2 linked regions of the Caenorhabditis elegans genome follow. The protein of the gene in region 2 interacts with the protein of the main gene of each other region in a pairwise test. Each region holds a gene or a part of one and is shown on either strand. Other genes may lie near its edges.

What was found.
Region 1: the proteins of eps-8 (region 2) and ztf-17 interact in a two-hybrid assay, tested with the Caenorhabditis elegans proteins (2 studies listed by BioGRID).

Annotation. Positions count from the first base shown.
Region 1 is NC_003280.10:7,865,756-7,872,290, forward strand, and holds ztf-17 (Zinc finger transcription factor family protein 17), read right to left. Parts: upstream 4,408-6,535; 5' UTR 4,399-4,407; coding exon 4,333-4,398; intron 4,229-4,332; coding exon 4,148-4,228; intron 4,101-4,147; coding exon 3,948-4,100; intron 3,898-3,947; coding exon 3,809-3,897; intron 3,756-3,808; coding exon 3,645-3,755; intron 3,597-3,644; coding exon 3,291-3,596; intron 3,247-3,290; coding exon 3,099-3,246; intron 2,858-3,098; coding exon 2,429-2,857; intron 2,382-2,428; coding exon 2,306-2,381; intron 2,261-2,305; coding exon 2,102-2,260; intron 2,057-2,101; coding exon 1,989-2,056; intron 1,935-1,988; coding exon 1,827-1,934; intron 1,439-1,826; coding exon 1,115-1,438; 3' UTR 501-1,114; downstream 1-500. Other genes in the region: ostb-1 (Dolichyl-diphosphooligosaccharide--protein glycosyltransferase 48 kDa subunit), read left to right, coding at 1-20, 70-252; T01H3.3 (MFS domain-containing protein), read right to left, coding at 5,430-5,566, 5,614-5,699, 5,768-5,950, 6,001-6,149, 6,197-6,400, 6,447-6,534.
Region 2 is NC_003282.8:14,877,811-14,882,758, forward strand, and holds the start of eps-8 (SH3 domain-containing protein), read left to right. Parts: upstream 1-1,752; coding exon 1,753-1,805; intron 1,806-1,859; exon of another isoform or gene 1,860-1,880; intron 1,881-2,018; exon of another isoform or gene 2,019-2,039; intron 2,040-2,231; exon of another isoform or gene 2,232-2,253; intron 2,254-2,451; exon of another isoform or gene 2,452-2,472; intron 2,473-2,556; exon of another isoform or gene 2,557-2,577; intron 2,578-2,796; exon of another isoform or gene 2,797-2,817; intron 2,818-2,946; exon of another isoform or gene 2,947-2,967; intron 2,968-3,041; exon of another isoform or gene 3,042-3,065; intron 3,066-3,118; exon of another isoform or gene 3,119-3,139; intron 3,140-3,271; exon of another isoform or gene 3,272-3,294; intron 3,295-3,526; exon of another isoform or gene 3,527-3,547; intron 3,548-3,749; exon of another isoform or gene 3,750-3,773; intron 3,774-3,839; exon of another isoform or gene 3,840-3,860; intron 3,861-3,983; exon of another isoform or gene 3,984-4,004; intron 4,005-4,948.

The sequences.
Region 1 (6,535 bases), on a different chromosome or scaffold from region 2:
ATCTCTATGATGTGCAACAGGTTAGTAGAACGATGTACAATCTTTATTTGCATTACACATATTATTCAGGTGTCGGTTCGTCCATTGTGGCACACCCAGTATGAACGTTTCATTCGCTCCGCATATCCATACTACGCCTCTTCGTTCTCAATGATGGCGGGACTCGTGTTGTTCTCCATCGTCTATCTTTATCATAAAGATACGCCAGTCAAAGGAGCCAAGGTTCTGGATTCCGAAAAGAAGAAAAACTAAATGCTCTTTTTTCGCAAAGTTTGCCTCTTCGCCTACTGGTTTTTTCTCCCTCTCTCCTCAATTCGTTTTCATCGCCCGATTCCAATGATTTCTAACTTATTTATTTTTCTGCTTTTAGGTGATTTATATTCGTTCCCCTTTCTCCTACCAAAGTTTTTTTGTTTTAATGTATTCAAGTTTTATGTCCCAACTGGTTGTATTTCTTTAAAAGTATGTACTTTTGTGATAATAATAATATTTTTCATGTTAGAAGGATTTCATGTTTTATTCATAGGCGTAAACACAAAGAACAGAAGCTAGGGAATACGTTTGATATATTATTTCTTTAAATTTGGGTCTACACTTTAATCAGAAGAGAGGGTGAATGGATGACTCTGGTAATCTTTTGATAACCGAGTATATTTACATTGAAATGAGCATTAAGAAGATGAATATAAAGAAACAATGTAAAGGTAAAAAGAAACGTAGAATACAACCAACTTCCTAGCTTATATGACAAAGTGCAGAGAGGTGGGTACGGTATTTCTCAAAAAAGAAGATAACCAAAATGTATTGATCTACTGAAAATTGAAGATTATTATAAAAGATTGAAAATTGAAGATTACAATAAAAGATTTAATTCATAGTCAAAGCTTTCTTAAAATTAAAAGGGTAACACAACCTAAAAGAGTAAAATAGAAAGAAAAAACACACTACAACTAGAAATAACACACTGAACTAAAATCTAAAACTACACAACAGAAGAAAAACATGAACAAAAGATAAAATGACCAAAAAGGTTTAAATCTCTTTTAAAACAAAAAAAAGGAATCTAGCTAGACTGAAAGAGGAAGAAATCTAGCTATGTATATTCTATTTTACTCTAAGAAATATTGAGATTATTGTGACGATCGTTGAAATTAGTGAGTCCAAGTAGCTCATCGAATACGTCATCATCAAATGGTCCACTGAAATCAGTGGCCAAGTCCATACCGCACAGCGGATCATTAAAGTTATCTGGAAGATTTGCAGCGAGAATCCCATCAATATTAGAAGTAACTCCTGAAGCTTCTTCTCCGCCACACAAAATTTCATCGTCTCCTCCACCGAGTCCAAATAAATCTTCGGTTTTGAATTCTTCAAAGTCATCTTTCAAAATACTTTGAGTCGCGAGAGCATCTTCATCGTCCATTTCAATTTTGACTTTCTAAAAGCAGATTCGATTGAAAAAAGTCAAATAAATACATTTTCTATTAATCAGTTGCAAAAAATGCGAATTTTGACGAAAAACTACAGGACCCTGTCAAGAAAATTTTCGAAGCAAAATTTTAGAGAGTACTGTAGCTGAGATTTCCGGTTTTTCATGCAATTTTTTGAATTTCAGGGTTTAGGAGCAAAGTCGATGGAAATTCTTTAAAAAAAATTACGAAAGAACCAAAGATTGGGCTACTGTACATCTTAAAGGCGCACACCTTTTTGCGCAGCTTTCATTTAAAAAAATCAAGGGGATACTGTATTTTCTGGTAAAAATTGCAATAATTTGCAACGGGATTTTCCGATCACGGTTTATAATGTTTTTTTTTTCAAAAACTAACACTTTCGTCATACTCCTCAATACTCGAATTCATTTCGAGATTTTGAAGTTGTCCTCCATTGAAACGAATCGGCACAGCCTTCTTCATCGTAATTGATTCTAGCTCCTTCTGGAAAAACGTGAAATATTAAAAATTAAGAATATATTACAATAAAAGAAATACCTTTATAGTCATACCGGAATATGGAAGTCTGCGGTTTCCATTTATAGAAGGTTTCATTGTCATTGACACTAAACTTATTTTGAAATTAACAAGAGAAAACTAATTGTACTTACAATATGGGTTAGTGATTGGAATTGGTCCTGAATTGTTACGATAGCCAGTTCCATTAAAAGCAGCCATATCTCGATGATATTGTTCGAACCAAATTGGCATTTGTTCAATTAGTCCGTTTTCAGTGACGAGACGGAATCGTCCAGAAGATCCAAGATAGCCTATAAACTCAAAGATAACGGGAAAATTAACTGAACAGTACTTACTGCGAATAGTTTCAACATTTCCTAAAACATCGACACCTTCATTAACTGCGTCGACGATGGCTCCAATTGAAGCCAGCTAAAATTTCAACTTTACAATGAGATGAATTTCTGAAAAAATGAAACCTCATTCGATTCTAGAACCATTCTTGTGTGATCAATTTCATGTCCACTGTGATGAAGGCATCCTTCAATTTGTAGTTCGGAGACCGTCGGATTCTGCTTGATTTTCAAATAAGCCATACAATTTCTACCACACTTTATTGACGGTCTGGGTGGTCTCACGTATTTCTTGTTAGGTCTCTCCTTCTGATCACCACTTCTAGAACATGTCAGATAGTGAACTTGAAGTCCTCGTCCCCACTTTTTGGATCCTGATGAGACGACAAACTCGACTGCATGAGTCTCACGAAGAGAATCGAGCCACGATTGGAGCATTTCACGATTGGCAAATGTTCGTTTAACAAGAGGAGCTTCAATTCCGTGCGAGTCATACATATGACGAAGTAGGAGAGGGCGGGAATATGCGAATGTGTCACATTCACTACATTTCACCTGAAAAATTTATTTAAAGAGTGAGTAGCTAGAATGATGATTTTGATTCAAAACTTCCTAAATGGTCTGAAATTCAGAAATATTGAAAAAATGTACAGAGAAAGAATAAAAATGAATTTTCTTAAAAACGTGGAATTTGAATATCCTCCAAAACTTTCATTCAAATTCAGACTTTCTTAATTTTTCTCTGAATTTCAGAAGTACTTTTTGGTATTTTAGAAATAAAAAAAACCGAACTCACTCCTTTGGGTTTTGGCTGAACCAGCTGAACTTTCATTGCCTCACCAGTTTTGTCGTATATAACTGGCTGCTTTGGACCATGAACTAACATGTGTTTTTTCATTGACATTTCATTAGTACCACGCCAGAAGCAGTCTTGTTGGGGACACCTGAAAATTCACTTTATAATTTATATCAGATAACCTTAACTTACGCAAATCTTGACGTTTGCAACCGATTTCTCTGAAGCAAGTTATAGCTGGGCGATTTTGATGTCATGCATGGTTGAACCAACGGTCCGGACGATTTTAAATAAGGATCAGGTGACTCTGATTTTGGTGATTTATCAGCGTTGAAACCATCTCCAGTCAATTCGTCAGCTCCTAGATCGGCAATTTCATCGTCTAATTCTTCTTCAAAAACTACTTCTCCACCCATTGACATACATGCCGGAACAGTTGTAAAATGTTGTTTCGGTGGCTCTTGTGCTGGGACATACATGTTCGATGCGGGACGATTTCTATAAAATTTTGGAGTTTTAAAAAAATGTTAATTGCAATAAACTAACTCATCGAACTTATTGCCGTATTCTGCTTTTGGCAGACGATACACATATTTTGGAGCGCTGCCACTTGTATCAAGAGTCACACTTCCTGCTGACATTGAAGTTGCATGGTATCTGAAAATTGAATTGTGATGTTCAAATTTATATCGTCGCCGTTTTCTACTTACGATGGGGCTCGTATAGAAGAATTTATTGTAGTCAGTCTTCCAGTCATTTGATTACCTTTCATTCCAGGATTGTTACGACGAATGTAAATCTGTAAAGTTTTTAAACAGAATATCAGACACGTGTGCCGATTCTGCTCACTATTTTTCCACTCTCGTAATTCTCTTTCATCTTTTTCATATAATCTGGTGGTGGAAACGTCACTCCTGAACTACTTGTCATCGATTTCTGAACGCCATTGCCATCGGCAACGAACAGACGACGACGGGGTGCCAACCGACATGCTGGTATACTCTGGAAGACAATGTTTTACTAATATCCAGATTTTTGTTAATATTCACTTTGTAATTTGTCGGCGGTCGTTTGATTATTTTGCTTTGCTGCGACCGGAGTCCGTTGGACGAAGCGATTGTTGATGGTCCCTGAAAAATTTAATAAACTCATTTATTAAAATCATTTTTTTAAGACATAGAACATCTAATTTTCTAATGACTGTAAATTTGTATGTCAAACATATTTGAAATACCTGTACTGGTAAATGATAGTCATTTCCGTACGAATCGCCGTACACGGACGCCTGGTAGCGCAGCATGTGAATTACCTGAAATATGTAAATGTTTGAATCTACGATTGAACAATCAAAATGTTTCAACATTCGAATATAATGCAATGAAATTGTAGAAAATAGTGATCAGAGAACGAAAAATGTGTCAGAAACATTGGAAATAACGAAAGAAATGAAACATTTTGATAAGAGCTTATTGAAAAAAGAAGAGAAAACAGTCAATAGGGAACAGGAGGAATTTTTTGAGATTTTTTTCTGAATGATTATGTTTGCGTCGAATAGAAAAATGCTGAAAACTCAAATAAGATTAATTAAAGCTTGAACCATTTTCCGCGAATTTTTGATAATAATTGAAAACAACAAACGTTTAATGATCTTCGGTTTCTCACAGAAACATTTGTTTTTGAACAAAAAATGTGTTATTTCTATGAAGTGTTGCTGAATAATTCAAAGTTCGAACAAAACATGTTCTTTGAACTTTCTCGCTGCAGTATATTTTTTTTGGCCTAGATAAATATATTCTTTAGGAATAAAATTGTATTTATGCGATTGTTTTATAAAACTTAAAAACAGCATGAAAGTAATCAGTTGGCTCGAATGGCACACCACGAGTCGATGCCCGGCGAGCTCTGCAACAGTTGCCGAGTCCGCCGAAGAAAAAAAACGAATTGTCGTGAAGTGTGGCGCGGCGTGTACGTGATGCACACTTTAAATTCCACCGTAGTACTCCGCAAAGCCAGGCGCTCACGCTCCTGTTAACAAACATGTTTATTCAGTGAAAATCAGAGGACTTTTGTTCGAGAAAATTTATGTGAAAAAGCACAACAAAACAGCAGGAAAATATGGTACAGAAAGTGATACTACACGGGAAGGAACAAAAAATAAATTTGATAAAAATGGGAGAGCGATATGAATATTAAATTAAGATTTTATTATTGAAATAATGCAGTTTCGTTGACCTGAAAAACAATTTTGGTCAAATTTGGCAAACTATTGAGCAAATAATTAACAAGCTTTAAAAGCATGACCAATTATGAGTGTTTAAAGAAACAATTGTTTTATTTTTTTGATTCAACTCTTCGAATTTCGTAAAGTCCACACTCGTCTTGATTAAAATCGATCAGAGCTAGAGATTGCATTTTTGTAGAAGCTGCAAGCGGATCCCAAGACGAAGCAGCCCACGACGCTGATTTACCTGGAATATAGGAAATCGTGAAAATCATTAAAAAAAGTTCAAATTACCTCTTCCAAAAACTGCAAACTCGATGGCGACAGCAGAAAGAACGAAAAATAAGAACATTGTGACTTTCATCCATTCTGCCAGTTTGCTAAAAAATAAAAATGTAAAAGTGAATACTGAGCAACTTTTCGTCTCTTTACAAACTGAAATACTTACTTTTCAGTCACAGAATATGTAACAACCATTGGAAGAATCGAGAACGCCAGTCCAAATGGAACAGCACACATTGCCACAATTTGCTCGGCAAAAACTCTTCCAACGACGGTTAAACTTCTTACAAATCCAGCGACAATGGCCAAGCCAAATGGTAGCATTGAAATAAGAAGAAGCGAAAAAAGTCTGGAATTATTTTAAAGTATAAATAGAAATGAAAAATAGACGGAATTTACCCGGCTTTGGTTTGTAGTGAAGCGACGAGAACTATAGCGATCATCAAAATTGCGCCAATGGCAAATGCCGTGAAATTTAAAATTCTGACGATCTTTGTTGAAGGTTTGAAGAGGACGTTGAGAGAAGAAAAGATGATACATGATAACGGCTGTAAAATTATGAATGTTGAAGAAACATAAAAATTGTAAACCGTACCAAAAGCTGAAAAGGGAAACTACTGTGAATCCCAAGTCCTTCAACAACAAAAACATCGGGTGACGCCAGAAGAGATGGAAGATAAATTGAAAAGAAAGCAGTAACTGAGAAGAGACCAAATGCAGAAGTCCAGATGCTCCAAGCAGACAATGATCGGAAAAGTGAAGTATACGCATCTGCAAGTGCACGATTTGATCGTAATTCCTGAAATTAAAAATTATTTTCGGACATTTTAGAGCACAGAACTTACATTCACTTTTCCTGCAACAATTTTATTCAATTCAACTCCGCTGACCCATGGGTGGTCTTGTGGACGATCACGATAAAATATTGACCATC
Region 2 (4,948 bases):
TTTTTCATTCCAATTCCAATCCATCTACTTTCTCTCTCCACCTGTGTCTCTCACCTCTACCATACTATTTCTCCCACCTTTTCAATCGACAGTTTTTTTGCTGTTTCGGTTTCTACTGGATACACGCCTTTGGGGCGTGGAAATAGAAGAAGATGGATGGATTTTGGAGGAAAAGTTGAAGGAAAACTAGAGAATGCTGGGGCCCGGATACTTATTATTTCTTTGATTCGATTTTCTTTACTTTTTCCCCAGTTACAACAGATTTTGGAAAATTTCACGAAATTCAATTTTCTTTTGTTTCTTTGGATGTTTTTAAAAAGGGATTTTGTAGTTTGAAAACTTGAAAGCTTACAGAAAATTTTATGAAAATTTGCATTAAATTTTCTGCAGTTTCACACTCTTTATTTCAGCGTTATAGGGGTTTTTGCAACATTGCTTCAATTTCAATTTTTCCTATTGCTAAATATAGAAAAAAAAGCGGTGGCGAATTCTTTATGAAATTGTCTAAAATCCATCTTGTATACGTTTCAAAAAAAATTATGCTGTTTCAAAAATGTAACTTGTTAGCACAGAATATACGGTTTTCGTTCAGATTCGTTTTCAATCTCAATTTTCAAAATCTTCAGTTGAAGAAGTTATCTTTTTCTGTTTTTTCTTCGTAAATCTGAAAAATAATCACTGCTTCAAGTTATTTACGATTTTTAATTGATTTTGAAATCTAACTCAATTACTTTAATTAATTCTGTCATGTTAATACATCTACAAAAATAAATCTTACTCCTATATTTTTCATTCAATTTCAGATCTGATTGACTTGATTTTCAAGAGTATAGCTATTGCTAGAATTTTTAGTTGTTTTTAAATTTATCATTGATTTTCCGAGTATTGTTTTATTCACTAAAATTTCCAGATTCACAAAAGTTTTTAGTGAAAAATAAATCAGTGAATTGAAAATGTTTTAATTTAAAATTCAGATTTTTCTCTCAATTTCTCACTCTAGCCGCTTTAATGTTCTCTTCTCTCAATCTTTTTGTTAATTTTTTGAAACAAATTATCACTGTTTCAAGTTTTTTTAAAAATAATTAATCAATTTTCAATTTTAATTTTCACATAAATTGCTTTCGCTTTCATGATGTTATTTTCAAAACAATATTTTTCACTATTTTCATTTGTTATATAAAACATGGTAAAACTTCCCATTATACTCTCTTTTTGCTTTCTTAACTCTAGTTTCCAAATTAAAATTAAAAAATTGTTTCTAAACTTCAATTATATTTTCCTAAAACTTTCCACGAAAATTAAAATTCATTAGAATTTCTTACAGTTACGAAAAAGGAGCCAAACTTTGAGATTTGAATTCAAGTTTTCCACTTTATAATTAAAAATGAAAATTTCTTCCTTATTGTAACATATCATTTCGTTAATTTTTTAAACCAAAACTTTAAAATTTTCCTGTTTCACGTTGTTTATAAGAAACATTGATTTTTTAAAAACATTGCTCGGTGGATTTTCTGAGTCTTTTTCAAAAAATAAAACAAAACTTTTCTCATGTTTTTATTGGTTTTCAAAATGTCATATATTTTTTACTTTTCCAATTCCAACTACAATTTTTCGAAAACCCAATGCTTCAATTTTTCTTCCATAACTTTAAAGTTAAATTAAATTTGATTTTATTTCAGCCAGTCAAATGCCATTTGCTTAAAAAGCGAGGAAATTTATCATCAGTGAAGAAGTGTAAAACATCTATTAAAAATGATGCGTCGAGGTGGATCGATGGGTCCACCGAGCGGGGATCCATATCAGAGGTTAGTATATTGTTTTATGAAAATAATTTAAACACAAATACAAGGCAAATTTGATTACATATTGAGATAGTCAAATTTTACAATTGAAATAAAGTTTTTAAAGCTTTAAACTTGTTTTGTATTGAAAATCCAAGTATTTGATAATTACTCCCAAAATTGTGTCAATTTTCTAAAAATTGCTGACAATCTAAAAGGTGTGAGACGAATTAACTCAACAAACTAAGGAAAGCAGAACTAGAAAATATTTGAACTTTTTTTTGAAATAGAAGTTATGAAACGGTAATTTTTGCGAAATTTTTTAACCTAAAATTTAACTTCAACGTATTTGAAAATCCATTACTGCAAATAAATTTTGAGACTGAAATATTTCTCAAAAATTGACTATTTCGCAATAGATGTTAAATGAAATTTAATAAGTCACCAGAATTTCAAACAGGATGAAAATGAAAAAAAAACAGCTTCAAACATTTTTGTTGAAGTAATTTTTTTAAATCTAAATTGCTTCCAGCGACTTTTTAGAGCTGTTTTCTGTATGTTGATGGCTCGTAATACCCTAAAATTCATTTTTTTTCAAATAGAAAAAAAAATCGAAAATATCGCTGTTTCAAAGAAATGTTATATTTTCAAAGTTTTATCAATGAATTGTTCTGCTGACCTTTTTATTATGAGAAGATCAAATTAAATCATTTATCAAATTGAAGTCGATCCCCTATGAAAGTTCGACTAAACTGACTTCAAACCGCTTTTTAAACCGAAAATTGCAACATTCTTACTGAGTCAATAAAAATTAGAAAAATTAAATGAAGATGCTGAAACTGTAGAGTGTTTCAATTTTCGGTTTAAAAAGTGGGTTGAAGTCAGTTTAGTCGAACTTTCATAGGGGGTGGAATCCTTTAATCAGAAAATTTTAAACTGGATGAAAGAAGAAGTAAAAACAAACAAATAACTGCTTCAGATTCATGTTATTTAATTTCTGAATTTACTTTTCCGTTAAAGAATTTACTTTAAACTTTTTTTTTAGCAAATTAAAAATAATCTTTAAAAATCTAAATCTTGAAAAAGGAAAAAAAAAATGTGAATATCAAAATTTTGACCGTTTCACATTGTTTTTTTTTAATATTGACATTTTCTGGTAGCATAATATCAACAGAAGAATATTACTTGTTAATAAAAAAATATTAAGAAAATTAACTATTTCGCTTTCCTTATAAATATTCGTTATCAGATTTTATAAATTAGTAAGCTCTCGGAATTTTCTTAAATTTTCAGTTTTAAAGTCAAAACGACTTCCTTAATGTTCTAGAATAACTCAATCAATTAATTAACCAATTAATCCGTTGAAATGTCCCAGTTCGACAGGATTTATTGAATTTTCGAAATGAAGTTGATTAATTAGTTTTCAAGATGAATATCTTATTTCTCTGTTTCACCACCACACCTCTTTGGGTGTGGTTTTGGAAACTTATTTGGAATGTGAACGATTTTCCTAATGCCAATGAACTTTTTGCATTTTTTAAATTAGTTTTTTGAAACAGTGATTTTTTGTGAAGTCGTTTAATTGTAAGTTTTCAATATTAAACACCTTAAAAGTTAATTTATTGCGAAACCCCCTATAATAATGATTAGAATATTTCAAAAGTTGATTTTGAATTACTCTGATAATGCGTTTGAAATAATTTTTTCTGTTGAAACTAATTTGTTTTTTATGGTTTCCCTGTCTTCTGCATTTTTTTGAAAGCACATCATTGATAAAATGTTTCTAAAGTTTTATATTAAACATTTGGAACCGTGAAAAATTTTAAAACAACTCCAATATAGCTAACTTTTTTACATGTGCTTGTTTTTTGGAACAGTTTATTTTTTGTGCAAATTTTTAAGTATAATATTTTCAACATTTTACCATGTTTCAATGTAGTATTAAATTTTACCTCCACCATAAAAAATTATTGATTTCAATCTTATTGGTACATAACTCAAATGTTGAAAAAAAAATTTGTTGCACAATTGGAACTGTTTCAGAATTTCCCTACTTTCAAGAACAATTTTTTTTGGATATCGCAGTGTCCAAGTTTTCGAAAATTTTAGTCAGAAACCTGAAACTGTATCAATTTAAGCAATTAAAGTAAATTTAAAAACAATTATTGTATTCTTAAAAACCTGAAAATTGAATTGTTTAAAAGTGTAATTCACTGGAATTCATCAATATTCAAACTTTTCACATATTATGTAGCAAAGTGAAAACAGTAGAATTTTTAAAAAATTTAGAAAAGTCCTATACATTTTCAAGTTGCGATCAAAAATGGAACAAAAAGAAGCTGTTAAGTTTTGCTTATTCAGTCAAACTGTTACTATAAAATATAAAATTCAAAAGTTCAAGAAAATCATTTAGATATGTAACCAAATAATATTCGACTAATTTCTAATGAAAATACCTACCTAAAATCTAAAATCGTAATCACGGTTTCACAGAATATTATTTGGTTACATATCTAAATGATTTTCTTGAACTTTTGAATTTTATGTTTTATAGTAACAGTTTGACTGAATAAGCAAAACTTAACAGCTTCTTTTTGTTCCATTTTTGATCGCAACTTGAAAATGTATAGGACTTTTCTAAATTTTTTAAAAATCTTTGTGAAAAATGCGACTCTCTCTTAAAAAATTCTCTGTTTTTGTATCAGGGGTGTGCGGCAAATTTGCCGATTTGCCGAAAATTGCCGACTTGCCGAGCTCGGCAAATTTGCCGATTTGCCAAATTCGGCAAATTTAAAAAAACCAGCAATTGCCGATTTGTCGAGCACGGCAAATTTCAAAAAAGTAGATTTGCCGAATTTGCCGAGCTCGGCAAATTTCGAAATTTGCCGCACACGTCAAAAATTTTACAGTACAATTTTGACTAAAATTATTGATTTTTTCGCCAAAAATTTAGTAAAATGACACAAAATTGAGTTAGTTTTATGCTTAAGCAGACATACTACACGGAACTAATTCAGAAACCAGATGTGTGTTAAGAATTCGGTAGTTTTGGTGTTCCAAAAAACATCAAAAATTATCAAAATTTTCCGAGTTTGTTAAGCACGGCAAATTTGCCGAATTTGCCGAATTTGCCGTGCTCGGCAAATATTGAAAAACCAGCAATTGCC